Linked DNA regions of Canis lupus familiaris. The protein of the gene in region 6 interacts with the protein of the main gene of each other region in a biochemical or structural test. Links are inferred from orthologs where the notes say so. Each region holds a gene or a part of one and is shown on either strand. Other genes may lie near its edges.

The links.
Region 1: the proteins of SP1 (region 6) and HDAC1 form a complex in vitro, tested with the Homo sapiens proteins (2 studies listed by BioGRID). The link is inferred for Canis lupus familiaris from reciprocal best matches to the Homo sapiens genes SP1 and HDAC1.
Region 2: the proteins of SP1 (region 6) and DDX5 form a complex in vitro, tested with the Homo sapiens proteins (2 studies listed by BioGRID). The link is inferred for Canis lupus familiaris from reciprocal best matches to the Homo sapiens genes SP1 and DDX5.
Region 3: the proteins of SP1 (region 6) and NR2F1 form a complex in vitro, tested with the Homo sapiens proteins (2 studies listed by BioGRID). The link is inferred for Canis lupus familiaris from reciprocal best matches to the Homo sapiens genes SP1 and NR2F1.
Region 4: the proteins of SP1 (region 6) and PSMC5 form a complex in vitro, tested with the Homo sapiens proteins (2 studies listed by BioGRID). The link is inferred for Canis lupus familiaris from reciprocal best matches to the Homo sapiens genes SP1 and PSMC5.
Region 5: the proteins of SP1 (region 6) and JUN form a complex in vitro, tested with the Homo sapiens proteins (2 studies listed by BioGRID). The link is inferred for Canis lupus familiaris from reciprocal best matches to the Homo sapiens genes SP1 and JUN.
Region 7: the proteins of SP1 (region 6) and KLF10 form a complex in vitro, tested with the Homo sapiens proteins (2 studies listed by BioGRID). The link is inferred for Canis lupus familiaris from reciprocal best matches to the Homo sapiens genes SP1 and KLF10.

The regions. Positions count from the first base shown.
Region 1 is NC_049223.1:68,301,034-68,303,559, forward strand, and holds part of HDAC1 (histone deacetylase 1), read right to left. Parts: intron 2,294-2,526; coding exon 2,201-2,293; intron 1,072-2,200; coding exon 963-1,071; intron 881-962; coding exon 740-880; intron 193-739; coding exon 84-192; intron 1-83. UniProt on the Homo sapiens protein: Histone deacetylase that catalyzes the deacetylation of lysine residues on the N-terminal part of the core histones (H2A, H2B, H3 and H4).
Region 2 is NC_049230.1:14,616,023-14,620,247, forward strand, and holds the start of DDX5 (probable ATP-dependent RNA helicase DDX5), read left to right. Parts: upstream 1-1,425; 5' UTR 1,426-1,453; exon of another isoform or gene 1,454-1,897; intron 1,898-2,077; 5' UTR 2,078-2,212; coding exon 2,213-2,256; intron 2,257-3,474; coding exon 3,475-3,640; intron 3,641-3,972; coding exon 3,973-4,069; intron 4,070-4,167; coding exon 4,168-4,225. Other genes in the region: CEP95 (centrosomal protein of 95 kDa), read right to left, coding at 1,168-1,186. UniProt on the Homo sapiens protein: Involved in the alternative regulation of pre-mRNA splicing; its RNA helicase activity is necessary for increasing tau exon 10 inclusion and occurs in a RBM4-dependent manner. Binds to the tau pre-mRNA in the stem-loop region downstream of exon 10.
Region 3 is NC_049224.1:15,771,465-15,775,642, forward strand, and holds the start of NR2F1 (COUP transcription factor 1), read right to left. Parts: upstream 2,801-4,178; 5' UTR 2,706-2,800; coding exon 2,243-2,705; intron 1,937-2,242; exon of another isoform or gene 1,915-1,936; intron 1,741-1,914; exon of another isoform or gene 465-1,740; coding exon of another isoform or gene 452-464; intron 281-451; exon of another isoform or gene 129-280; intron 1-128. UniProt on the Homo sapiens protein: Coup (chicken ovalbumin upstream promoter) transcription factor binds to the ovalbumin promoter and, in conjunction with another protein (S300-II) stimulates initiation of transcription. Binds to both direct repeats and palindromes of the 5'-AGGTCA-3' motif.
Region 4 is NC_049230.1:15,140,696-15,144,647, reverse strand, and holds the start of PSMC5 (26S proteasome regulatory subunit 8), read left to right. Parts: upstream 1-1,152; 5' UTR 1,153-1,231; coding exon 1,232-1,255; intron 1,256-1,704; coding exon 1,705-1,776; intron 1,777-2,816; coding exon 2,817-2,886; intron 2,887-3,209; coding exon 3,210-3,307; intron 3,308-3,475; coding exon 3,476-3,532; intron 3,533-3,608; coding exon 3,609-3,839; intron 3,840-3,952. Other genes in the region: pre-rRNA 2'-O-ribose RNA methyltransferase FTSJ3, read right to left, coding at 68-114, 371-476, 647-713.
Region 5 is NC_049226.1:51,325,633-51,328,811, forward strand, and holds JUN (transcription factor AP-1), read left to right. Parts: upstream 1-1,347; 5' UTR 1,348-1,563; coding exon 1,564-2,589; 3' UTR 2,590-2,679; downstream 2,680-3,179. UniProt on the Homo sapiens protein: Transcription factor that recognizes and binds to the AP-1 consensus motif 5'-TGA[GC]TCA-3'.
Region 6 is NC_049248.1:44,804,296-44,808,462, forward strand, and holds the start of SP1 (transcription factor Sp1), read left to right. Parts: upstream 1-1,367; 5' UTR 1,368-1,472; coding exon 1,473-1,479; intron 1,480-1,958; exon of another isoform or gene 1,959-2,366; intron 2,367-2,551; coding exon 2,552-2,706; intron 2,707-3,030; coding exon 3,031-4,167. UniProt on the Homo sapiens protein: Transcription factor that can activate or repress transcription in response to physiological and pathological stimuli.
Region 7 is NC_049234.1:4,353,188-4,357,178, forward strand, and holds the start of KLF10 (Krueppel-like factor 10), read right to left. Parts: upstream 2,801-3,991; 5' UTR 2,669-2,800; coding exon 2,633-2,668; intron 739-2,632; exon of another isoform or gene 557-738; intron 517-556; exon of another isoform or gene 502-516; coding exon of another isoform or gene 496-501; intron 1-495.

The DNA.
Region 1 (2,526 bases), on a different chromosome or scaffold from region 6:
GGTAGAGAGGGTGGCTGGGCTCTGGTTAGGGACAAACCAGAGCCTGGAATGTTCAATCAGGGGGTGCATGGGGATATACTCACTTGATCTTCTCCAGGTATTCATTGGTATTCTGGTTGGTCATATTGGAAGGACTGATGTGAAGTTTGAAATCTGGTCCAAAGTATTCAAAGTAGTCATTGTACGGAAGCTCTAATTGGGGCAGGAGATAGGAGTCAAGAGACCTGGCTGCCACAGGACCCCAAGAAAAAAGCATTTGTAGGTTTGTCTGGACCTGTCAGCCCAACCATCTAACACAGAAGAATGCCTCTGAGATGGTGAGACTTGGGTACTTAGTGGGGTTTCAATCTTTTTAATGCTGTTCTCCAGTGTCACCCTCCAACATACACACAATGAGAAGAGGCACAAGCCCAATTTGGAAAAATTTAGGCAATGCCCATTGGGAGCATTTCCTCACTGACTATCCCAGATCCCCTACAGAGTAGAAATTCCAAAGCTATAAATAACCACTGATAATTCTGTCTAGACCAGAAGCAGGAGGGAGAGAGGACAGGGTCAAGAAAGGACTCAGGAAAAACTGGTGGTCTGACTATCACAAGAGGATAGGCAGGAGAATTAATCGATGACTAGCATCAGAAGAGGGGAGGCCACACAGCTAGTGGGAAACGGCTTGTGAACTTGAGGAAACACAAGCTTCAGCTGTGCCCAGCCCAGCCTGGCTTGGCCCTGGAGCTCTCACCATTCGGGATTTCCGTGTCCAGGGCCACAGCTGTTTCATATGTCCAGCAGCGGGCCACATTACGGATGGTGTAGCCGCCTCCTCCCAGCATCAGCATAGGCAGGTTGAAGCTCTTCACAAACTCCACACACTTGGCGTGCCCTTCGGGGAAGAAAGGGTTTGTTGGATTACAGGAGCACCCAGCAGGACCCTGCCCACCCATCCCTATGCTACCTGGCCTCACCTTTGATCGTGAGATTGAAGCAACCTAACCGATCCCCAGACAGGGAGTCAGAGCCACACTGTAAGACCACCGCACTGGGCTGGAACATCTCCATCACTTTGGACATGACCTAAAAGGACACATCCCGGTAACCACCAGCTTGAAGAGGTTATGTGATGTTTGGGGCTGCAAAGGATGGGTGCAGTACTTTGGCATCATTTACTCCTACTTTCCACTCTCCCTCATGCTGGGTGGTAGGGAGCATCAGTCTGGGATTTCAATTTTCCAATTTGAAAGGCTCTCCAAGATCTTTCTAGCTCTAGTAATGCTGAACCTGGAACAGCCTCATCTTTTGCTTCCTTCACTGCCCAAGCTCCAGTGCCACTTCTGACTGTCAGCTGCATCTGCCTTCAGTCCTACAGACTCTGTGCCTCATATTGTGAGGGGGCACTCACTTTCATCTTTCTCACTCTGACAAGATTTTGATATCACCTAGGACAAAGACCATATGTTGGGCTTCGCTGCTACCCTTACTATAAGGCATATAGGAAGCACTTCACTACCTGACCCTATTAGGTTAATAATAAGCCAGTAATGGTTCCTTGTGGCTTACAGGCAAAGATTTAACTCCTCAGCTCAGCATTCAAGGCCCCCTTTGAAATCCTGACCCCAACATATGTTTCCCATCACATCCTTCAATGGTCCTCCCATATTTGAACTAGTCTAGATGCAGCTACATACAGGCACCTCTGTACTTCTGCTGGTGCTGTTCCCCCTGTTGAATGCCACCCCTGCTCTCCAGCCTCCACCTCCTTTACATAGGCAACTCATTTTTCAAAGTCCAGCTCAAATATCACCACCTCTGTGAAGTCATCTCTGACTACCCTCCCCCCAGCCCAGGCAGCCATTTGTCTCCCACCCTTCTGTTCATCTTGCAAAAACAGTAATGACCACACGCTGTCGTGTATGTGCCTGCCTCCCGCAATGTAGACTGTGAGGTCTTCAAGGGTATGATTCATGTCTTAGATATTCTTGTATCCAACAGAGGGCCTGACCCACAGAAGGCATCAATAAATATTTGCATGAATTTCATTCCCCTAGCTGACCACACAGCATACAATCCAGGGTCAAAACACATCTCATTTCCCAATCAGCTTCTCGGGGTTGGGGGAGAAGTACCTAGGTATGCTGGAGGTACTTTGCTACCCATCCCTCAGACTAAGTCTGATTGCAGCCCGGGTGGTGGATAAGCCACTTACCGGCTTGAAAATGGCCTCATAGGACTCGTCATCGATCCCATCTCGGAGCGGGTAGTTAACAGCATAATACTTGCCTTTGCCAGCCCCAATATCCTAATCAAGAAGGACATTAAAGTAATAGTGAAAGATGAAGCTAGGAAGAAGTTCAAGATGGGGGCTGGAAGGCTAAGGAAAGAGGCAGTGGTTCTGAGAGAGACAGGTGGGGCCCTGGAGCTGAGCCAGGGACAGAACAGGGGCATCTTGGCTAATACCATCCCTCACACAGGCTCACATCTCTGGACACACCACTGAGCCTGCGCCCAGGCTGAGAACTATTTATGGAGCCA
Region 2 (4,225 bases), on a different chromosome or scaffold from region 6:
TGCCCCAAAAGGTGGTGATTAATTCAGGCTGTTAAAAAACTGAAGTAATGACCCCAACACTGCAACATTTGTTTTAGTTCTTTAAAAAAATTACATTTAATGGAGGCGCCTGGGTGGCTCGATCGGTTTAAGCCTTTGCCTTCAGCTCAGGTCATGATCCCCGCAGGATGGAGCCCCCAAGTCTGGCTCCCTGCTCACCGGGGAGTCTGCTTTTCCCCTTGCTCATGCTCTCACTCAAATAAATAAATAAAATCTTATAAAAAAAATAAAGTCAATGAATAAGAAGTAAAATACAGGCAATACACAAAGACATCCCTAAATTCAGAACTAGCACATTACCAACACTGTTGGAAGTTTCCTGTGTGCCACCGCACCCCACCCCCAGATACGGTCGGAATTAGCAAGATTATTTCACGACTTTCTCCAACAAAGGTAATTTCTAAAGCCTGACCTATTTGCTCCCTGATACAATTTAAGGTGGTTAAGAAGTCCTTCTACTTCGTATTTGACGAACTGAGCGCGTTCAAGGCACGTTATCTCCCTGTCCCCGTGCCCACTTCTCACAGCTGACCAAACCACGAGCTGGTTTGAACGCTGTCCTGAGGAAAGGATGAAAAGAAAAGCGTCCCGGACAACCCAACCCACTCGGTTTTCAAAAGCGGTTGCTAGACAATGCAGGTAACTCCAGAGGGCACTGAAGAGAAAAATCCGCCACTATCCTACTGTGGCAGGAGCATCAGCAGATCTTTAGAGTGCCGTTCCCCTCAAAACTTCAATGCACATGGAGGTAACGGCCTCAGTCCCCACAATCCAAGAGGCAGAGAGCGCGCTGACAGTGGCTGGATGCCCCAGAGAAACACGAGTCCCGGGAAGCAGCTTTCCGACTGCCCTTTTTGCAGCCAGGTTGCGGGCGTGCTGCGGGCCTCGCCACGGGGTTCTTCTCTCCACACCCCAAGATCTCGCTAGATGGCCTCTAGGAGGGGGACCCAGAGCGGGGCCAAGAAACCCACGGAACCGCCGACTGCGACTGGGTGTCTGTCACCAGCCCCGCCGGCAGCCCAGACCCAGGGAGTCCAGCCGGAGGATTCGAGATAAAAGGCCTAGGAGCGTCCGGCGGACTTAAAGGGTTTCAGTCCACACACACCCGGGCTCCGGGCCGAGACTCACCAGCCTCTGAGCCGGCCATGTCACGGAGGCAGGTCGCTGCCGGACTTCCAGCTGGGCGCGAGGCGGACGGCGTCCGGGAAGGGCCGCACAGCGCAGACGCAACGCCGAGGTGGGGGGAGAACGAAACGAAAGGGCAGGGGGTGAAAGAGGGAGGGACGTTAAAACGGCTTCTTGCTGCTGATTGGTCATCACGGGAGGACTTCCTTTCGCAGCACGCGCCCAGGCGGCGGTTTGTGGGCTCTAGGTACCATTCTCCGCGGGCAAGATCCCGCTGAGGGATTCTCAGGTGGGTGGATTTGACAGGCCGGGTCACCCAGCGGCCCTGGCCGGCCTCCCGGGGGCAATAGTACGGCACTTCCGGCGAGCTATTTCGTTTCGTATTCCTCCGCCGACGCCAAGTGGAGAAGTAGTGCGGTCCGCTTACCCGATGGGCGGGAGCAGTCACGTGACAATGTCAGGCTCCGCCTTCCCGTCTCACTTGGTTAGGGGCGTGAAGGCTCTTCGGAGACGTAAACATCTCCAAGTGGGCTGAGTGGGTTGGTCTGTGCTGGCCATTTTGTCGGCAGGGCTAGACCTGGGAAAGGGCGGGGTGGCTTCCTTGAGGTGTGGAAAGACGAGAAAAAGGTGAAGAACACAGAGTAGGCTAAGGCGTCTCAGTGCGGGTGGGCCCAGCCGTGAAAGGGGCCCCAAGCCGGCGACTCTGAGGGAAGCGGAGGGTGGGGGTGGGGCGAGAACATGGCGGATCCCGGAACGCCGGCGGGCGTTGCGGCCTCTGCGCAGGGGCGGGGTGATTAGGTCATAGAGCGGCTCCCAGCATTCTCCGCGGCGGAGGAGGCGGTCCAGGCTATAAAACCGGCTGCCGGGACGCGGCCGGCACCTCATTCATTTCCACCGGTCTCTTGTCGAGCAGCTCCGGCCCCTGTCATCGCCGCCCCGCTGCCGCTGCCGCCCCCGCAAGGCTTTGCCATCGCCAAAGCCACCTGCAGCGACTCGTCGCACCCGATTCTCTTTACTTCGTTCCCCGCCAACCGCAACCATTGACGCCATGTCGGGTTATTCGAGTGACCGAGACCGCGGCCGGGATCGAGGGTGAGTGTGGGAACGGACTTGTCAGGCCCGGCAGTGGGGGATGGGAGGCCGATGAAGGAGGCGGCGGGCGGGGGCGATGGACAGTCGGCTTTTTCCGGCTATATTTAACCTTTACGAATCGAAGGCTTGCGCCATTTTGATATTTGTCCGGAACTGACAGAGGGATGTTTCCCTGTTAACGGTCCTCAAGCTCGCCTTTTGTTGGTGGGGGGATGGGGGAGGCGCCGAAGCCCCCGCCCCCGCCGACTGAGCAGCTGTTGGGGACAATTCGGGGGAGTGTATTTCAATGGTTGGAAAGCGCGACGCTTTCAGGAGAACGAAGTCACCGCTGTTCGGTGCATCTTTTCGGGAAGTGTTGTAGGGGCCCCGGGAGTTCTGTGGTAATCGAAGGGGTCGCCTCACGAGCCATTGATGGCGCGGGAGCAGGAGGGCGGCCGGCACCGCGGGAATCGGCCATGTGGCTGAGCCGCGGGTACAAAATGCCGGCGCCGGACATGGCGGCGGCGCCTTTGTTACCCCGCCCGGCGGAGGAGCTCAAAATGGCAGCGTCGAGAAAATGTGGCGCAGAGAGAAATGCGAGACAAAGGGGGAAGCGCCGCCCCAGCGGGAACGCCGCCCGGTCCGGGACTCCTCCCCCGGTAGTTGCCAGCTCCTCCTCCTCTTTTTCTTTGCGTTATATAATTTTGCTATCTTGATGAGGAGCCCTCCGGGGGGATCCCCCCAATTCGATGGGCTTGCATAAATGTCTCTGAGACCACCGTCCTTGTTCTGTTCTCGTTGGTGCTGTCCCATTATTCCTTAGAACCAAAGCTGCTTGGCTTGGAAAGAGCTGATAATAACATTGCTGTTACGCACCTCCCTTGTATTGTCTCTCCCCCAGACATTTAATGCCTAAGCTCACGGGAAAGACTAGGAGCCACAAGCTGTTGTCTATCCTTGTAATCTGAACATGGGGCGTTTGGGCAGCCAATTTCCGACCTGATAAATCCCGGGCTGTTGATTTGGCTTCAATAGTGTGTATTTGGGACAACGGAAAGTGAGAGAGATGGTGCTAATTGTGGCTTTTGAGAGCATGACCCATCACTAAGGACAGTGCTAAGTCTTAAACCTCGAAAAGTCTTTCATTTATCTGTACTGTGTGTCAAGGGACAATAAATAGTCTGTATGTAAACGTCTTAGTAGGTAGTTGAAAATATAACTTTTTTGTTTTAATTTCAGGTTTGGTGCACCTCGATTTGGGGGAAGTAGGGCAGGGCCCCTATCTGGAAAGAAGTTTGGAAACCCTGGGGAGAAATTAGTCAAAAAGAAGTGGAATCTTGATGAGCTGCCCAAATTTGAGAAGAATTTTTATCAAGAACACCCTGATTTGGCTAGGCGCACAGCAGTGAGTAATTTCACAGGGCTTCCTTGGGCTGTAACTCAACAGTGACTTTTAGTAAACAGAAATTTGAACAGAGGCCTTGGAAAACTCATATTTTCTGATAGTCGAGGAAGAGGAGGTGCTTTGGCAAGTGGTATCTTTGAATTTTTCTGTTTAGAGTGGTTAAATATAACTACAATAGATGGATCTTGTGCTCTGTAGGTTTTCTATATGTGGATATAGATTTTAAATGGCCCGTTACAGTTTGCTAATCCTTGATAAACTTAAGGCCTGCTGACTGCATATTGGTGAAGGTTGTTATGGTACTTAGTAGGTTATTAAAATTTGTTTTATAGCAAGAGGTGGAGACATACAGAAGGAGTAAGGAAATTACGGTTAGAGGTCACAACTGCCCAAAGCCAGTTCTGAATTTTTATGAAGCAAACTTCCCTGGTAAGTGCTAGTTCAGAGCACTCACTCCCCCCCCTTTATTAATTTCACCCTTTTTCTTAGCTTCACTAAATTTACTGAATTACTGTTGCTAATTACAGCAAATGTAATGGATGTGATTGCAAGACAGAATTTTACTGAACCCACTGCAATTCAAGC
Region 3 (4,178 bases), on a different chromosome or scaffold from region 6:
GGCCTGAGCGCAGGGACACCTCCCCCCCCCCCCCGCCCCCCAACCCCGGTCCGGCAAGGCCAAGGAAGCGCCACCCAAGCCCTCCACCACCAAGGTGCAGCACACAGGTTTAGGGAAATCCCACTCACCCCTCCAGAATGAAACAAATCAGAGTAAAACAAACAAAAAAGAACAGGCGAAACCAGAGAAAGGTTGTGGTTCTAGGCAAACGCCTAGCCGCCTCTTCATTTGCAAGCAAGCAGGGTTTTGCTCAAAATGTTTCCATATTCTCTCAAAATGCTATAGAATTATCCTTAAAATAGATACAAGTTACATAACCACTTACAACTTTTGAATATAAAACAAGTATCCTGCACCCCTCCCCTGCCCCCTCCTCCCCTTCGCCCCACACAAAGTTCACTGTTAAAAGCAACAGAAAATTGAAAAATTCCAAGAAAAGAGTTGAACTTACAGTAGCCAAACATTATTGAAAAAAGTGGGAAATATAATTAATGTCTGTCCTGTGAGGTGCCACTGCAACCTGCAGCCAGCTTTTGCCCAGTGAATGCACGAGCTTGCAACTGCAAAAACACTGGATTCATTAACCATCTGAATGCAAAACGTAAGCATGCTTTGAGTTCTTAAAGCTGACCAAAGTTTTTTTTTTTTTTTTAATGTGTATGTTTTACTTCAACAGTGCCAGCGTTTTAAATTGCCATGTAAACAAAGACAACTTTAGGAAAAGTTAGGGCTACTGAACTCTTCCCCCCCCCTCAACAAATTAATATAGATATGTCCATGTACACATAGCTGTCTTATTTCAGGTTGTGCACTATTTTCTTAAGTTTGCTTTGATTCTAATTTTAATGCAAGCCCCAATGCAATTTAAGCTCTTGAAACATAACAGCTAGAATACTTTTTTCTAATTATAGTTTTGAACTTGGCAGTTATTTTTCAATTAAATGAGAGCACAATTCAGTTTTTTTTTTTTTTTCAGATGCCTACAAAATCTCCCTGGAGCTAGAAATGAAGTCGTCATATTTGCCTGCTCCTTGAGATCTGAAGGAATTCAATTTCTTTTCTTGTGGCATATAAAATATAATTTTAAAGTCAATTACAAGAAGGAGTAATCTGCATTCTGCAAAATTGACTGGTTCGCTAATTTGACTGTAAGACATCTTTAATGATTGTCAGGAGATAAACTTTAACTGTAAACGGCTAAATATATTTATAAGAAAAGTGCTGCATCCCTTGCCACATGAACATGAAGCATATCTAAATACAACATCAAAAGTTGTGTTAAAAGAAACCGAACCCACACAACACAGAGATTAAATGAAGTGGAAGCTCATGCCAGCTGCAGTCTATGCATTATAGCCAAATCAGAAGGATCGGTAAATGCCGTTGTAAATTGTAATTTGTATGCAGTATTTAAGCGGAGGGTGGAGTTTGATGAAGAAATAAAACGAGTATCATGCTTTTAAAAAAATGACACAACTATGAAAGGACGGTTCAGTCACAAACTTTCCTTTCAAAGTAGAGGGGTGAAAACAAGGCCACAGCTCTGGAGGAGGCGGCCCCAGCTCGGTGAAGAGGAGAGGGAACCAGTGAACAGGCCAGAAGCCCCCCTTTCCCCCCTAATTAGACCTACAAGTGCAATAAATCTCACTCCTCTTTTTCCAAGCTAAGCTTCCAAAAGGATGATGCAGCAATGAATCCATGGTTCAGGGTCCTCCAGTCCCCGGCCCTCCCCAGTTTTTAAATAAAGGGTATGATGAAGGAAGAGGTGGAGGGGAAAGTGGAATGAAAAAAAACACACACACACACACACAAGAGTTTTCTGGGGGGGGGGGGGGAAATAAGCACCCCCTCCCCGAGTTCATGCCAGCACAGCCCCCAAGCATCCTCACGCACACGCGGGAAAGAGACACACACCGAGCACATCCAAGACAGAGGAAGTAAAGGGATTTTAAGCCACAGCTCACGATCCCAGGGACACAATCCTGAGCAGGCAGCAGGAGGGGTGGAGGAGCCAGGGAGAGGAGCGCAGGCCGGGAGGGGGAGGCAGCGGCAGCGAGCTCGGTTGGGGAGGGGGGGGGGTGACGCCGGGGGAGGAAGGCAGCGGGGACAGGGGAGGCTGGGACGGGGCCGGGACCGCAGGAGCTCCAGCCCCAGACAGCAGCCACCCCCGCGAGAGAAAGAAAGAGAGAGGGCCGGGGAGGCGGGCGAAGCTCAGGGAAAGAAGCAGAGAAGAAATATTCACCTTCCCGCCTCATGCCCACTTTGAGGCACTTCTTGAGGCGGCAGTATTGGCACTGGTTGCGGTGGTGCTGGTCGATGGGACAGTTCCTGTTGGCACGGCATGTGTAAGTTAAGTTCCTGCGGACGCTCCTCTTGAAGAAACTTTTGCAGCCCTCGCAGGTGAATTGGCCGTAGTGCTTGCCGCTCGACTTGTCCCCGCACACCACGCACTCGATGTGCTGCTGGCTCTGGCCCGAGCCGGGCGGGCCCTGGCCCTTGTCCCCTGCCGTGCCGGGGGTGGCGGGCGCTCCGGGCTGGCCCGGGGTCTGCGGCGTGTGCGGCGCGCCCGAGCCCGCCTGCTGCTGCTGCTCGCCGCCGCCGCCGCCGCCGCCGCGGGCCGCTTGCGCTGCGGGGTTGGGGCCGCCGGGGTTGCCCCCGGCCACGTCGTCCTGCGGATCTCGCCAGCTGCTAACTACCATTGCCATATCTTTGGGCCCGGGGAGCGCTGGGGGGAGCCGAGCTGCTCGCCGAGGGCCGCGGGGCGCGCGGGCGCGCTGGGAGGGGAAGGGGAAGGGGAAGGGGGGAGGGGGAGGGGGCGGGGGGCCCGCCGGGCGCCCCGGGGTCGCGGGAGCCGAGCCCGAGCCGGGCACCGGCCGCTGCCTCCGCCGCCGCCGCCGCCGCCGCCGCCGCCGCTACTGCCTCGGCCGCCCCGCTGCTGCTGCGCGCCCGCCCGCCCTGCTGGCGTTTTGTTGTGGTTCCTGCTGTTTTCTTTCTCTCTTTTTGCAGCCCCCCCAGGCTCTCTGGCTCCCCCCCCAACACCCCTGCTCCCCTCGCCCGCTCCCCCCGCGCTCCGATCCTGGGGGGGCCGCGCTCTCCTTCTCCCCCCCCTCCCCACCCCCCCCCAGCCGAGCAGGCTCTCCCTTCTCTCGCTTTTTTCTTCTTCCCCAAGTTGCAAAATCAGAAATGGCACAGGCGGCAGCCGGGAGCGGCGCGGGGCGCAGCGCCGGGGGCGGCGGGCATGGGCCACGGCGCGCGCACACACTCGCCCTCCGCCTCGCCCGCACCCCCGCGCACACACACACACTCGCACACACACTCGCTCACCCGCGCCGGGCGCCCGCCCGCCCGCCCGCCGGCCGCTCGGGCTACACGCTGCGCGCCGGCTCAGCCGACATAGAGGAAGCCGGCGAGGGCGGCGGCGGCGGCGGCGGCGGCGGCGGCGGCGGCGGCGGAGGAGGCGGCGGCGGCGGCGGCGGCGGAGGCGGCGGCGGCGGCGGCGGCGGCGGCGGCGGCGGAGGAGGAGGAGGTCGCGGCTGCAGGCGCCGCTGGAGTCGCCGCCTCAGCTGCAGCGGCGAGCGCCGCTGGAGGAGCCGGGGCCCGGGCCGGAGTCCGAGCTGGAGTCGGGGCCGCAGCCGGAGCGCGAGCCCGGGTCGGGGCCGCCCGCGCCGCCGCCGCTGTCCCGGCGGGAGCCCTGGCGGGGCTCGGGATGGAGGGGAGCGCGGAGAGCCGAGCAGGGCGCGGGGCGAGGCTGCGGGCGGCGATCAGGGCGCGCTGGTGTCGGGGGGCCAGGTCCAGGGCTGGACGCAGCCAGCCATTCAGGAAGGCAGCGCCGGAGAGAGGGAGGCAGCCGGCGACGAGGATCACACACTTTGCTCTTTTTGTTGTGCCGGTGGCGCCGGGCTCTCGCTGCCTTCTTCTTTCGGGAGGTGACGGAGAGGGAGAAAAATACGAGATAATTCACGCCGGCGACGAATTCGCAGCGAAATCGAAAAAATAAAAATCAGAAGAAAAAGAATCGCAATTTAAAAAAAAAAAAAAAGCGAGAGACATCCAAAGTAGGTCGAATAAATAATCCTCTTCTTTTCCTCTTTCTTGCTCCTTCTTCTGCTTCTTCTGCTATAACACACAGAGCTAGTTAAAAAAACCCTGGAGATCGCCCAAAAATGTTCTTTTTTTAG
Region 4 (3,952 bases), on a different chromosome or scaffold from region 6:
TGCAGAACACAATTAGTATCTCATTCTCCCACCCCTTTACCACTCAGGGGGCCCATCCGTTACTCACCCACAATAAGGCTGGATACAGGCATAAACTTAGCAGCCACCTGCAGCCTAGAAAAGAGTAATGCCGACTAAAATAACTCAAGACTACAATAACTCAAGACCGTTCCTCCCCCTCCCTTGGCAATAGGCTCTCTCACCGCGTGCCTTAAGAGGCGCTACCAAGTGCAGTGCCCCGACCTACGTCTAGGAAAAGCATGAGACTGGTATTGCCGTATCCCTCCCGCCCCCCAGTGCCACTCCAAGTCCTCCACGGCCGGGACCCTCAACGCAGCCACAAAGAGCCGCAGGTGCCGGGTGTACCCACCATCCCCCGGGCGCAGCACACAGGTCCAGCAAGGCTCGTGCTTTCTGCAGGAACTGAAAACGGCGATTCAACTGGATCAGCTTGAAAGCAGAGCGGGAGCGGTAACCTGGGGGCACCGACAAAATGTTAAACTCGGCGGGGGGCTTTCCCAGGGAGATTTCTGCGACTTCACAACCCACCACCCCGTCTACAGAACGGAAACTCAGTATTCGGAAAGGTGGGAGAGAATCGAAAACGTCCCTCCTTAGCTCGCAGACAGCGCGGACCCTGACTCACCGGTCTCCTTCGCCAAGTGATAGAACTTGTCCCGCCGGCTCTTCCCGACTTTGCCCTTCTTGCCCATAGTGGAACGGGAGGACTGTCACTTAACCTGGGGACAGAAAAATTGAAACGCCGCTTTCCGTCCCCCACTTGTCTCTGCAAGCACGGGGAATCTCTGCCTTTTTCACCACTCTGAGAGAGGCACGTGGGGGGCAGCACACGTACTTCCGTTTCCGCTTGCGTCGCTTGCGTCTCCGGCTCCAAGTTTCCGCCATTTTGAGCGTGGCCGAAAAGTTTTCTTTATGTCCTTAAGTATTGCAAGTTGGAAGTTGGGACCAGGTGAGCGGATTACCTGATCTAAAACTGAGTTCCTAGAGAGCAACATTTAGGAGTTCCGTGGCCTCCTCATCCCTTTCCAAGCTCCTGACCTCGCGTAGCCACCTTCTCATCATGGCCTCTGTTTTTGTAGTCGTCGCGACGCACACCCCGCCCATTGACCCGGAATTCTTCTCTGTCAGGGTCGCCGGGCCCCAAGCCCCTATTTTTGCGCCTGCGCGCCAAGGTGGCTCGGATGCCGGCGGCCGCCGTGGGTGAGAGAAGATGGCGCTTGACGGGCCGGAGCAGGTACGGCGGCTGCGGTGGCCGGGTGGGGACGGGGCCTCGATGCGAAGCAGGCGCGATCCGAGGTGGGCAGACGGCCGAGGCAAGGGGGTCGGGTGGGTTGGGTGGGTGGACCAATCCAGACTGGGCCCTGCGCGGGACCGGATCTGCTGTGTCAGCGCCGCCCGCGGCGGGTCAGAGCAGGGCCGGGAGAGAAAGACCCGGGGGAAGCGGAGCGAATGAGGGGAAGATGGCTCGGTACAAAGCGCTCTCGTGCATGTTGTCCCTTGATCCTCCTGAAAGTCTTACGAGGTAGGCGGCATTCTCCTTCTGCTTTGAGTTAGTCGCGGGGAAGTGGAGGGTTCTAAAGAGATGACTGAGGAATTCAACCCAAATCCCATTCCTCCAAAGTCCAGGCTTTTTTCCCTTGCATTTTGGGGGTTGGGGGGCTAATAATTACCCTGTGTCTTCAGATGGAGCTGGAAGAGGGGAAGGCAGGCAGTGGACTCCGCCAATATTATCTGTCCAAGATCGAAGAACTCCAGGTGAGGATGGACTACAGAGGCAGCTAGGAGGGGATGAGGGACTGGAGTATGTTTATATAAACCCACGTAGTCCGGTGGGGGCGCAGTGGAAGAAGTAACTGGTCAAGGATAGGAGTATATGAAGTTAAGTTTCTTGTTTCTCTCACTTCTCACCCTTTGAAGGTAATCAGTATACACGGTTTATTACACATCGTTGGCTGTCAGATTTTGACGTAAGAGGTACTCTTTGCCAAGTACTATTCCTTTTAGAAGTTTGAATTGAGGGTTTCTTATAAAAGGTAACGCGGAAGCTGGGATGAGACGTAGCACACGGGCTGGGACAGGGTGAGAGCGAGAAGGGAGACCGAAACTCCCAGTTGGGATAATGCGGACCCCATGGGACTGAATAAAAGGAGTTGGGCCACCCAGTGCCTTAGCCTGAAGAGGGGGCAGGGACCGTAGCAATAAGGGAAATATACACACTGGATGAAAGAAAGTCACAAGGACGGTTTCTGAACTCCTGGCGTATTTGCAGCTTTCATATTCGGTCTATGATTTTTGAAGTGCCTTTACATGGGATTTCCTTTGTTCTTCACAATAGTCCTGAGAAGAGGCAGGGTAGGGGACGCTAGATCTACTTCCAGTTTGGTAACATCATGACTTTTTTTTTTTTTAACATCGTGACCTTTTAAATGGTTTCCCTTAGCTTTAGCTACCTGTTAGTTGGCAGCGGTGGGCTTAGAACTTAGGCTTTGGACTCAGTGATGTTCCCACTCTACCATGTTATTTTCTTGCAAGGAGTTGACTATGTGAGGCAGCTGTGACTTTTATCAGGGCTTGCTATTCCTGGTCCATTATTAGGGCAACTAGTCTTTTTTCATGGCTGCTCTAGGCCCCAGAGGGACTCCTGGAGGAAAGGATAGTCTTTAAGATCATATCGGACAGTCTGGAACGTGCAGGTGGCCCCGTGCTCTTCTGTCACTTAGCTCGTACCAGCCTGTGAGGATCTTGGCCAAGACCATAACCTCTTGTTGTTTTCTGCTGTTTCTTGTCCTCCGTAGTTGATTGTAAACGATAAGAGCCAAAATCTCCGGAGGCTGCAGGCACAGAGGAATGAGCTTAATGCAAAAGGTGAGAAGGGAAAGATGGGAAGGCTGCATTTGGCCAGTCTGTCCAAGGTCTGTCTGAATCTGCCTAAATTGAGACTTGAGACTTCATGTTTGGTGCTTATTGTTTCTCGTATAGTCCAAGGTTACACTTTACACCGTTACGTAGTTACGGGCAGGGACCGCATGCCTCTCCCCATTGTAACCCCTTTAGAAATTAAATTCTGACTTTATTTTTGTGGTCTTCTAAAACTTCAAATTGGTGCTTAATTCATGCCTGTCAAATGGAGTCGTGAGAGAAAGGACACTGAAGAAGCTGGGTGACCCCTATGTCTGTTTCCCATCCAGTTCGCCTATTGCGGGAAGAACTACAGCTGCTGCAGGAACAGGGCTCTTATGTGGGGGAAGTAGTCCGGGCCATGGATAAGAAAAAAGTGTTGGTTAAGGTAAAAGCACGATTGACCCCCAGAGAGCAGCCCAAAGCCCAACGCATTCCCACACGTGTGTGTAGCATTGCCAAGACACTCTTCTATTATTTTAGGACTCCTGGGTCTTCCTGGGCGAGGTGGGTAGTTTGGTGGTTGTCAGGAAAGGTCACGAACCCGTTTCTGTAGGTGCATCCTGAAGGCAAGTTTGTCGTAGATGTGGACAAGAACATCGACATCAATGATGTGAGTGCTGCAGGTGAGGTGGGAGGTTGGGCTCAGCTCTTAGCACACTACCTCCTAAAACTCTTCTCTTACCCAGGTGACACCCAATTGCCGGGTGGCTCTAAGAAATGACAGCTACACTCTGCACAAGATCTTACCCAACAAGGTAGACCCACTGGTGTCACTGATGATGGTGGAGAAGGTGCCAGATTCAACCTATGAGATGATCGGTGGATTAGACAAGCAGATAAAGGAGATCAAAGAAGTAATTGAGCTGCCTGTCAAGCATCCTGAGCTCTTTGAAGCACTGGGCATTGCACAGCCCAAGGTGAGAAGCAAGATTTCTATGGAAGGGTCATGCTGTTACTGGCATGTCCTGCCCTTGCCAAAGTGAGTACAGGGCTCAGGGGAGGTGTCTGGACCCCCACTTAATGCTGGCCC
Region 5 (3,179 bases), on a different chromosome or scaffold from region 6:
GGGAGCCACCTTAAGGGCGGTGCTCCCGCCCCCCGGAAGTGCGGGGGGGGGGCGGGGGACGCCGGCCCGGAGCTCGGCCTGCAGCCGCGGCAGGCGGCGCGGCGCCCGCGGAGGACCTCGAGCGCCCCGAGTGGTGCACCCCTCCCCGCACCCCGCGCGCCCTCGGCCCCGGGCACCTGGCCGGGTCCCCGCGCCTTCCCGCCAGCGCCCTGAACTGGAGCCCGCCCGGGCCGCGGGAGCCCGCGTCCGCCCGCGTCCGCCCGCGTCCGCCCGGCTCGCGGCAGCCGCCGTCACCCGACAGTCAAATCCCAAGACGTCAGCCCACAATGCACCGGGCGGGCCGGGAAAGACGCGCGGCGGAGGAGACGGGGGCAGAGCCGGGCGCGAGCCGCGCGGGAGGGGGAGGGGGGAGGGGGAGGGGGAGGGGGAGGGGGAGGAGGAGAAAGAAGGGCCCAACTGTAGGAGGGCAGCGGAGCATTACCTCATCCCGTGAGCCTCCGCGGGGCCGGAGAAGAATCTTCTAGGGTGGGGTCTCCATGGCGACGGGCGGGCCCGCCCCCTGGAGAGCGACGCGAGCCAATGGGAAGGCCTTGGGGTGACATCATGGGCTATTTTTAGGGGTTGACTGGTAGCAGATAAGTGTTGAGCTCCGGCTGGATAAGGGCTCAGAGTTGCACTGAGTGTGGCCGAGGCGGCGAGGTGGGAGTGGAGGAGCGCGGACTCGGGGAGGCGGGCGGCCGCGGGCAGGCGAGACGGCCGGAGAGTCCGGGCTGCAAAATCCGCTTTCCGTTTTGCATTTTCCTCGCCGACTGGCCGGAGCTAGCGCCTGTGGCTCCCGGGCTGGTGTTTCGGGGAGCGCCCGGAGAACCCCCTTCTCCAGCCGCCCCCGGGAGGAGAGCCCCGCCGCCCGGGAGCCGTGACAGCGCGGAGAGCGGCGACAGGTCCGTCCGCGCAAGTGCAGAGAGTGGCTGCGGCGGCTCAGAACTTTCCTGGCCGGGAGCACAGGGGACGAGTGGCCCGGGTCCCGGAGCGAACTTTTGCAAAGCTCTGCCGCGCCTGAGGCTGCGGCGGCTGCGGCGGCGGCGGCGGCGGCGGCGGCGGCGGCCGGGACGAGAGAGGCGGCGGCGGAGCGAGGAGACCGCGGAGGGACGTGCGCTCGGCGCCCCTCGCCCCGGTGGCTGAACTTGGGCGAGCGCGAGCCGCGGCTGCCCGGCGCCCCCTCCCCCTGTCGCCGCGGGGGCGGGCCCGCGGGCCCCCGGGAGCCGCCGCGCCCCGAGAGCGCCCCGAGCGCGCCCCGTGGGTGACCGCGACTTTTCCCCGAGGCGGGCAGCGCGCGCGCCAGCTGACCCAGGAGGAGCGCGGCGGCGGCCGGAGCCGGTGAGCGGGGCGCGGGGGGAGGACCGCCGGCGGGAGCGCGCGCCCCTCCAGAAACTTTCCTCTAGCCCAGGGCCGCCCCCCCCACCCGGGAGGCGCGGGGGTCCCCCGCTCGCCAGCGCGCTGTTGCGGCCCCGAAACTTCTGCGCGCAGCCCAAAGTAACCCCGCGCGAAGTGACGGACTGTTCTATGACTGCAAAGATGGAAACGACCTTCTACGACGATGCCCTCAACGCCTCGTTCCTGCAGTCCGAGAGCGGCGCCTACGGCTACAGTAACCCCAAGATCCTGAAGCAGAGCATGACCCTGAACCTGGCCGACCCGGTGGGCAGCCTGAAGCCGCACCTCCGGGCCAAGAACTCGGACCTGCTCACCTCGCCCGACGTGGGGCTGCTCAAGCTGGCCTCGCCCGAGCTGGAGCGCCTGATCATCCAGTCCAGCAACGGGCACATCACCACCACGCCGACCCCCACGCAGTTCCTGTGCCCCAAGAACGTGACGGACGAGCAGGAGGGCTTCGCCGAGGGCTTCGTGCGCGCCCTGGCCGAGCTGCACAGCCAGAACACGCTGCCCAGCGTCACGTCGGCGGCGCAGCCGGTCAGCGGCGCGGGCATGGTGGCCCCGGCGGTGGCCTCCGCGGCGGGCGGCGGCGGCGGCGGCGGCGGCTTCAGCGCGGGCCTGCACAGCGAGCCGCCGGTCTACGCCAACCTCAGCAACTTCAACCCGGGCGCGCTGAGCAGCGGCGGCGGGGCGCCCTCCTACGGCGCGGCCGGCCTGGCCTTTCCCGCGCAGCCCCAGCAGCAGCAGCAGCCGCAGCAGCCGCAGCAGCCCCCGCAAGCGCCGCACCACCTGCCCCAGCAGCTCCCCGTGCAGCACCCGCGCCTGCAGGCCCTGAAGGAGGAGCCGCAGACGGTGCCCGAGATGCCCGGGGAGACGCCGCCCCTGTCCCCCATCGACATGGAGTCGCAAGAGAGGATCAAGGCCGAGAGGAAGCGCATGAGGAACCGCATAGCTGCCTCCAAGTGCCGGAAAAGGAAGCTGGAGAGGATCGCCCGGCTGGAGGAAAAAGTGAAAACCTTGAAAGCGCAGAACTCGGAGCTGGCGTCCACGGCCAACATGCTCAGGGAACAGGTGGCACAGCTTAAACAGAAAGTCATGAATCACGTTAACAGTGGGTGCCAGCTCATGCTAACGCAGCAGTTGCAAACGTTTTGAGGACAGACTGTCGGGGGCTTGAGGGGCAACCGAGAGAGAGGAGAGAGAGAGAGAGAGAGAGGAGAAAAAAAAAAACCACACACACACACAGAGAGCGAGAGCGAGAGAACTTGAGAACTTGACAAGTTGCAAGAGAGAGCGAGAGAGACAAGAAGTGTCCAAGGACTAAAGCCAAGGGTATCCAAGTTGGACTGGGCGGCGTCCTGACGGCGCCCCCAGTGTGCACGAGTGGGAAGGACTTGGCGCGCCCTCCCCTGGCACGGGGCCAGGGAGCGGCTGCCCGCGGGCTGCCCCGCTTTGCGGACGGGCTGTCCCCGCGCGAACAGAACGTTAGACTTTTCTTTAACATTGACCAAGAACTGCATGGACCTAACATTCGATCTCATTCAGTATTAAAGGGGTGGGGGGGGGGGAGGGAGGGGGAAGGGTTCCAAACTGCAATAGCGACTGTAGATTGCTTCTGTAGTACTCCTTAAGAACACAAAGGGGAGGAGGGGGGGTGTTGGGGGAGGGGAGGCGGGAGGGAGGTTTGTGAGAGCGAGGCTGAGCCTGCAGATGAACTCTTTTCTGGCCTGCCTTCCTTAACTGTG
Region 6 (4,167 bases):
CACTGAAAATAATTTAGTGACAACACGAAGATACCAGGAGGGGCCGCAGGGAATGACCTCCGTGTCATTGACGACTCACCCAGGCCGCCTCCACCAACACCAGGGGAGGGGGGGGAAGCGAGGTAGAACGGGAGGTGCCAGAAACGCAGGTGTCTGAGGGGAAAGTGTCCTGTGACTTTGGTTACAAAGGCCCGCGCTCTCCTCCTGCCGTCGGACGGGGTGTGTGGGGAAGGAGAGGCAGGAAGTGGCTGACAGGACGCGGACTCTGGGAGGTCCTCCAGGCCCAGCTCTCGAGAAAGTCAGCGCCGCGGAAGGAAGCCGCCGGCCGCCGTCTGCGGGAGAAGTCGGGAAGATGGCGTCCGCCGGAGTCGCACAAAAGCCCTTGCGGACGGTCGGCGCGGGGTTGGCCGGGCGCGCGCGCACCCACAGGGCCGACACCCACACTCCGAGGCGCCCGCCCGCCCGTCCGCCCACCGCGGGGAGGGGGACGCTGGGGGGGCCCCCGAGAGAGCGGCCGGCGGGAGGCAGAGCCGCGCTCCGCCCGTCTCGACCCTGACACTTGTTGCGCAGCACGGCCCCACCGAAGCGCGCCACCTAACCACTGCAAAGACGTCCCCTGAGGAGGGCCAAGATGGCGGCGGCCTCCTCTTGGCACAGCCCTGCTCCCTCCCCCGCGACGGGCGGCTCTGGCGGCGCCCATTGGCCCCCCTGGGGGCGGGGCCTGGCCCCCTTCGCCGCCTCATTGGGCGGACCGACTGAGGGAGACGCCGCTTCTCCTCGGCCCACCCCAAAGTCCCGCCCCCGGAGTGCATTCGGCGTTCAATTGGCTTCTCGTTCACGTCAATTTGCGTCCCCGCTTGTCTTGTCTCAGCGTTGGCCCAATCCTAACTTTCCTGGCTGCCCGCCTGATTTCTGATTGGCTGTGGTCGGCTTCATCCTATCCCATTTCGGCCTGCTTCTTACCCCCTCCCACCGGGGACTTTGCCCAGGCATGTCCGGGCTTCTGGTTGGCCGATGTTCTGTCATTCCAACCTAAGCTCTCCCTATCCCCACCGTTCAGGGAGCCCGCCTGGCGGTTGACTGGCTCCCTCCCAAGCCTGTCATCACTAGCTCCCGCCCACCCCCACTTCCTGCGCCTTTCATTGGGCCTTAAAACTGAGAGGGCGGCCTCCCTGGGCGGACACCAGGCTCGCAACTTTGTCCTACACGCCTTAGAGAGCCAGTGAGCCTTGCCATTGGATGACCCACGCGTCTTTCTTCCGCAAGTCCCGCCTTTCTCCCTCCCTCATTGGGCGGGGCAGCAGCGAAGGGGCGGGGCCTAGGCCGGGCTTGTGGCGCGCTGCTCCCTCCTCCTTACCCCCCCCCTCCCTGTCCGGTCCGGGTTCGCTTGCCTCGTCAGCGTCCGCGTTTTTCCCGGCCCCCCCCAACCCCCCCGGACAGGACCCCCTTGAGCTCGTCCCTCAGCTGCCACCATGAGCGGTAAGGATGAGTCCACTCCACGCTTAGGGGTGGGAGGGGAATGAGGGGGCGCGCGCGAGGGCCGACCGGGCGGTCCCCGCCGTGAGGGGGGGCGGGCGGGAGGCGGCGGCGGCGGCCTTGGTCCCGCCCGGGGCGGAGGGAAGGGAGGGAGAAGGGGCAGTGGCGGGGCCTGCGAGAAAGCGGGGGATGGGCCGCCCGCCCCGGGGGAGGGGGCAGCGTGGCCTCGCCCGCCCCCTGCCCGCCCCGGCCACGGGGGACGGGCCTTACCCCCCACTATTCGGCCGCCCGCCTGAGGCTCCTCCCGCCGGGGGCTGGAGCCGCGGGGGCGGCCCGAGCAGTGCAGGCCCCGCCCGGGCCAACCGCCTCCCCGGTCCGCCCTCTGGTCGCCGCCTGCCCCAAGGCCCTCCCCTCCCCCCGTAGGTTTCCCCTCCCCCCCACCGTCCCGCCCTTTCCACGCCCCTCACCCCGAAACCGCCCTTTCCTTCCAGGGCCCGCCCTCTGTCCGCCCCGAAACCTCCAGATTCGTAACCCCTGGACCCCGTAGCCCCTTAGCCGTATCCACAAATGTTTCCCCACTCACACTTTTTTGTTTTTTCTTTCCCCTTTGCCCCTCTTCTCCTCGTGCTGCTTTTTACCCTTGAGTTTTTCTCTTTCTCTATATTCTTTGACCCTAATTTTAGCAAGCTTTCCATCCACCCACATGTTGTTCTTTGCCTTACCTATCCCTCTCCTTTTTATCCCCAGGATACTTTTTTTTATTTTGAAACTCTTTGAACATGTCCATCGCCCCTCACATTTCCTATACGAAAAGTACATTTTTAATGTTTCCTGGGTGTAATTTTGTGCCAGGGAAGAATTGAGGCCCAGTTTCAGCACTGCTAAGCCAAGTCTGTGTTCTATGTGTCCTACAATTGCCCTTTCCTCAATCCACTTTTTTTTTTTTTTTTTTTTAACGCTGGTGCCTTTCACCTTACTGTTAATTATTTGTTTCATCATAGCGTCCTTTATCCCTCCTAACCTTACCCTTTTCCTTCCTCCAACTCTAAGTTGTTTATCTTTTAATTCTTTTTAGACCAAGATCACTCCATGGATGAAATGACAGCCGTGGTGAAGATTGAAAAAGGAGTTGGTGGCAATAATGGGGGCAACGGTAATGGTGATGGTGCCTTTTCTCAGGCTCGAAGCAGCAGCACAGGCAGTAGCAGCAGTGGAGGAGGAGGAGGGCAGGTAAGTGATAAACCAGGGCAGAGTAGGGGAGATGTCTAGAGAATGTAAATATTCTTAGATTATTGTCTTTTCACAGAAACGTTTTTAGGAAAGCGCTAAACCATTTTGTAGCTAGGGAAGTTAGCACAGAGAGACAAATGATTGGGAGATCTCCAGAGATGAGGATTTCAGCAGTATGGATAGGTCAGCTTTTTGTTTCAGGTTTTTTTTTTTTTTTTTCCCTCTCTTTGGCTGCAGTTTTGCTGTTTATTTGTTTTAAAACTGCCCCCAGGGCTGGCAGCTGGGTGTCTCTGACTCCTATCCTCTCCCTTATTTTCCGGCCAGGAATCCCAGCCATCCCCTCTGGCTCTGCTGGCAGCAACTTGCAGCAGAATTGAGTCACCCAATGAAAACAGCAACAACTCCCAAGGCCCAAGCCAGTCAGGGGGTACAGGTGAGCTTGACCTCACAGCCACACAGCTCTCACAGGGTGCCAATGGCTGGCAGATCATCTCTTCCTCCTCTGGGGCTACCCCTACCTCAAAGGAACAGAGTGGCAGCAGTACCAATGGCAGCAATGGCAGTGAGTCTTCCAAGAATCGTGCGGTCTCTGGTGGGCAGTATGTTGTGGCCGCCACCTCCAATTTACAGAACCAGCAAGTCCTGACAGGATTACCTGGAGTGATGCCTAATATTCAGTATCAAGTAATCCCACAGTTCCAGACCGTTGATGGGCAACAGCTGCAGTTCGCTGCCACTGGGGCCCAAGTGCAGCAGGATGGTTCTGGTCAAATACAGATCATACCAGGTGCAAACCAACAGATCATCACAAATCGAGGAAGTGGAGGCAACATCATTGCTGCTATGCCAAACCTACTCCAGCAGGCTGTCCCCCTCCAAGGCCTGACTAATAACGTACTCTCAGGACAGACTCAGTATGTGACCAATGTACCAGTGGCCCTGAACGGGAATATCACCTTGCTACCTGTCAACAGCGTTTCTGCAGCTACCTTGACTCCTAGCTCTCAGGCAGTCACTATCAGCAGCTCTGGGTCCCAGGAGAGTGGCTCACAGCCCTCCACCTCAGGGACTGCCATCAGTTCTGCCAGTTTGGTATCATCACAAGCCAGTTCCAGCTCCTTTTTCACCAATGCCAATAGCTACTCAACAACTACTACCACCAGCAACATGGGAATTATGAACTTCACCACCAGCGGATCAGCAGGGACCAACTCTCAAGGGCAGACACCCCAGAGGGTCAGTGGGCTACAGGGGTCTGATGCTCTAAACATTCAGCAGAACCAGACATCTGGAGGCTCTCTGCAAGCAAGTCAGCAAAAAGAGGGAGAGCAAAACCAGCAGACACAGCAACAGCAACAAATTCTTATCCAGCCTCAGCTAGTTCAAGGGGGACAGGCTCTCCAGGCCCTCCAAGCAGCACCATTGTCAGGGCAGACCTTTACAACCCAAGCTATCTCCCAG
Region 7 (3,991 bases), on a different chromosome or scaffold from region 6:
AGGTACTTTGCACTTTATGATAAAATCAACAGGAGAGAAATCTTCAGTGGCTCTTTAAAATTACTGCATTAGGTTATTCGAAATCTTTCATAGCTTGAAAATGTCTTCACAGCTTGATTATCTCTGGTAAAGATAAATATGGGGGAAAAATCCCAAAGCTTTATCTAAACTTCAGGTTCTTCATATTTGTGTTCCTTTTCACTACATCTATTTAACACAATGGTTTGTTATGCACAACTATGACCAGCTAATGCAATACTACTTAAAAAAAAAGGCCAATCATAAAATGTAATCTTCTACCCAGAATTGGCAAAAACTGACCGTACTGAGTCTACAATAGTCCAATCGAACATATTTTAATTTTTAAAATAACTGTTAGAAGAATGACAGCACACGCTTGGCATTTATTTGTACAACTCCAGATTCCACCAACTGTTCAATGCTTCCTATTAAAGTTCCTTAAACTGCACTTTAGAAAACGGTACTACGTATCACCTCCATTTTCCATTACAGTGATCTCATTCTTTTGGTCTGAGTAGAGATTGTGTAAAAATACCGAAAAGCATTCTTTGCGTTGCAAAGTATTCTTCTCAGGGCTTGCTCTAAAGAAACGCACACACGCTTCGTGTTGAAATCCTTAGAAGAGGAGCCACTGCTCTGGGAATTTCAGTAAAAACGCTATTGCGTAACCGCGCGCCCCTTCAAGCTGCAGAGGACAGCGCGGGTGGGTGCAAAAAGCCTCAGGCCGCCGAGGCAAAGAAAAGGAGAAACGGCAGGCGAGCGGGGAAGGGGAGCGTGAGCTGGGAAGGGCAGGAAGAGAGGCGGGGAGGGGAGGAAAGGGAGTGGGGCGGGAGGCAGGAAAGGGAAGGGCGGGCGGAGGCGCGGGCGGAGGCGCGGGCGGGGAGGCAGACGAGGGGCGGGGGCGGCGGCGGGGGCGGCCGGCGGGGGAGATCCTCGCTGGCGAGCACAGACGGATGGGGCCGCCCTAACCTCAACGAGGCTCGCGGGTGAGTCACCGGGAACATTCCTCGCCGCTCGCACGTCCCCGCGCCCCTGCCCCCGCCATTGGCCAGCCCGCCCGGCGGCGCGGGCCCGGATTGGCTGCACCGCGAAGGGCGGGGGCGCGGGGGAGGAGGGGGCGCGGCATGTGAACAAAGCGTGATCAGCCGCTGCTCCGGGCCGCGCAGGAAACGTGAACTGGGAATTGCCGCGCCGTCACCTTTCACCTACTTCCTGAGCCCGCGGCCCCCGCCCTCGCGCCGGCCCGGGGGAGGGGCCGCGGGCGCCGCCGCCAACCGCCCGGCAGTGCGCGCCCGAGCCCGCGGGGAGGGGCGGGGCCGCGGGCGCCGGCGCCGGCGCCGGCCCCGGCCCCGGCCCCGGCAGCGGGAGCGCCCGCCCCTCCCCGCGCCCGCCGAGCCGCCGTTCCCTTAGGAACCGACAGCGGGGCCGGGCCTCGCTGCCGCCCCTGGCGGAGGCCGGGGCTGGGTCACCCGGGGACGAGGAGCTCCCTGGGCGCAGCCGCTCCCGGCCCACCCCCGGCCTCCGCCTCGGCTGCCGGAGGAGGAGCCGGGTCCCCGCGGAAGCCCGGCCCCCGCCCCCTCCCGGCCGCAGCCCCGGGGGATCCGGCCGAGCCCTCGGCGCTTCCCGCCCACGCCGCGCGCGGGACCTCAGACCACCCCGTCTTCCCCGCAGACGCCGCGCCCCCTCCCCGCGGTTTCCGGCAGCTCCGTCTCCGCCCGCGGAGTCTCCACAGGTTCCCAGACGTGCAGCCCCCACAGACTCCCGCTCCAGACGCGCGGCCCCGCGGCCCGCACCCCCGCGTCTCGCGGCCCGGCTCCCCCGCCCACGTCCCCCGCCCGCTGCCGGCTCCCGCCCTCCGCCCTCCGCCCTCCGCCCTCCCCTCCCGGGGGTCCTCAAAGGCGGTCACTGGCTCCCGCCGGGACCCGGGGGCCCCTGCCGACGTGCGGGGGCGCACCTCCTCGTCCCCCTCGGCGGCCCCGGCCCACGTGCCGTTCCTCCGCGCCCACGCCGGGCGCCCCCTCGCCCGGCCCGGCCCGGCCCCGCGGTCGGCCGCGCAGCCCCGGCACCAGCCTCCGCCGAGACCCCCGAGAGGGGCCGCCCCTCGCCCCTCGCCCCTCCCGGGGACACACCGCCCCTCGAGCGCCCGGGCAGCGCCTCCCGCCCAGGGTCGCATTCCCGGTCCAGACGGCGGCGTCGCTCCCGGCGCCAGGTGCACGGGGGCCTCCTCGTCATCCCCGCACTGCCCTCTTACACCTTCCCCGGGCCCGCGGCCGGGGCAGCAGGCCCCTCCCCGCTGCGCTCCCCTGCAGGCATCCTCCCCCTCACCTGCCTCAGGTCCCCCTGCGGAGCTGCCCCTGGCCCTCCTCCTCACACCTTGGGCAAGGCCCCTGTCCCTTGGTCCCCAGGTCCCGATCCGCCCGTGCTGACCCACTCCGCGGCACACACGCCCTCCCCAGTGCCCAGTCTGCAGGCAGAAAGCCCGGTCCTCCCCCACGACTCCGCGGCAGCCCCGGTCGTCGGCGCCGCTGCTGTCCGGAGCTCGGGGCTGGCGCCCGGCTCGCCCCTCGGACGCGGAGGAAGGGAAGGACAGGGGCATCCCCAGGTGACCTACCGCAGCGAGCTGGAGGGAAGCGCCGAAGTTGAGCATGGCTGGCTGCCTGGCGGCCGGCGGCGAGCTCACTGGCTGCTGCGCTGCTTGGCTGCCGGGCCACGGACGGGCGCTCGGAGACACTCGACGCCGCTCCCGCCGCCGCCGCGCGCCGCGCCGTCTGCCCCCTCCCCATTCAGGTAGCCTCTCCGCCTGCCCCGCGCCGCGGGCGGGGGCGGGGGCGGAGCCTGCGGCCGGCCAATCAGCGACAAAGGTGTGTGAGGCGCCGGCCAATGGGCTCCCGGGGCCACGCGTGATCAGCGGCTGCCCGGCAGCGTGAAGCTTGTGTCAGTGGAGCGTGTACACAATCCCCGGCAGCGTGTTCCCTCGGCCCTGCCCGAGGGAACTCCCGCCGCCACCTGACTCGGCGACACCCCCTCGGCCCTCGCCCACCCCCCACCCCCCCCCGCTGTCCTCCGCCCCGGCCGAGGGGGCGGTGCCGCGGGCGGGGGCCCAGCCGGAGGCGCGGCGGCGGCGCGCCCAGGCTCTGCGGAGGGCCGGGCCCACGTGGGAGGTGGGGAGGGATGCCCGCTCCGCCCCGTCCCCTCTGCTCCGCGCCCCTCTCGGCCCGCCGCGGGGTGGGCGGGACACCGGGCAGCCGGGCGGGGGAGGCGGTGGCTGCTAGCCCGGGGGCCCGAGCCAAGAGATTTGCATTGGGAAGCGCCGTCCTCTTAGGCGTCTTAGGCGTCTGGCAAGAAAGCAGAGTCGCTGACCGACTGAGCTGCATTTCTCGAGCGTTTGCTGGGTTTTGCCTCGCTGAGCTGTGGGGAGCCCCGGGGCGGGGCGGGGAGGGCAGGGCAGGGCAGGGAACCCTGTCACTGAGCCGACACCTGCTCCTGCGCCCCCCGCCCACGCCCCGACCTCCGGCGCGGGTCGCCCTACCCTGCAGCAGCGCGGGCAGCAGTGCCCGCCCCTGCCCTCCCCGCCCATCCTTCCTCCAGGCTGCCGGGAGGACGGCGCGAGGACTGCAGGAAGCCCTGAGAACCGGCCCAATGGAGTGATGAGGGGCTGCAGACCCGGGTATTTATCCTTCTCTGACGACGCTTGGTTGCGGAATCGAGTTTTGAGCTCGATGTAAAGTTTAAATTGCAGTCTGCAAGCTGTTTCAAAGGTAGACCCCCACCCCCGCCCGGCCAAGGCCTCCAGAAACACCCAGCCTGGAAACTGCTTGTGGGGAGGGGTCTCCTAGGGTCGCCGGAGCCCGCGCGGGCGCGCCCGGGGGTGGGGTTGCTGCGGGGAGGCCCGCCTGCTCCAAGACACACCGCGCCCTCTCAAGGGCCGCCCGCCCTCCGCTCCCCCACAGTCCCACCTCCGACCCCTGGG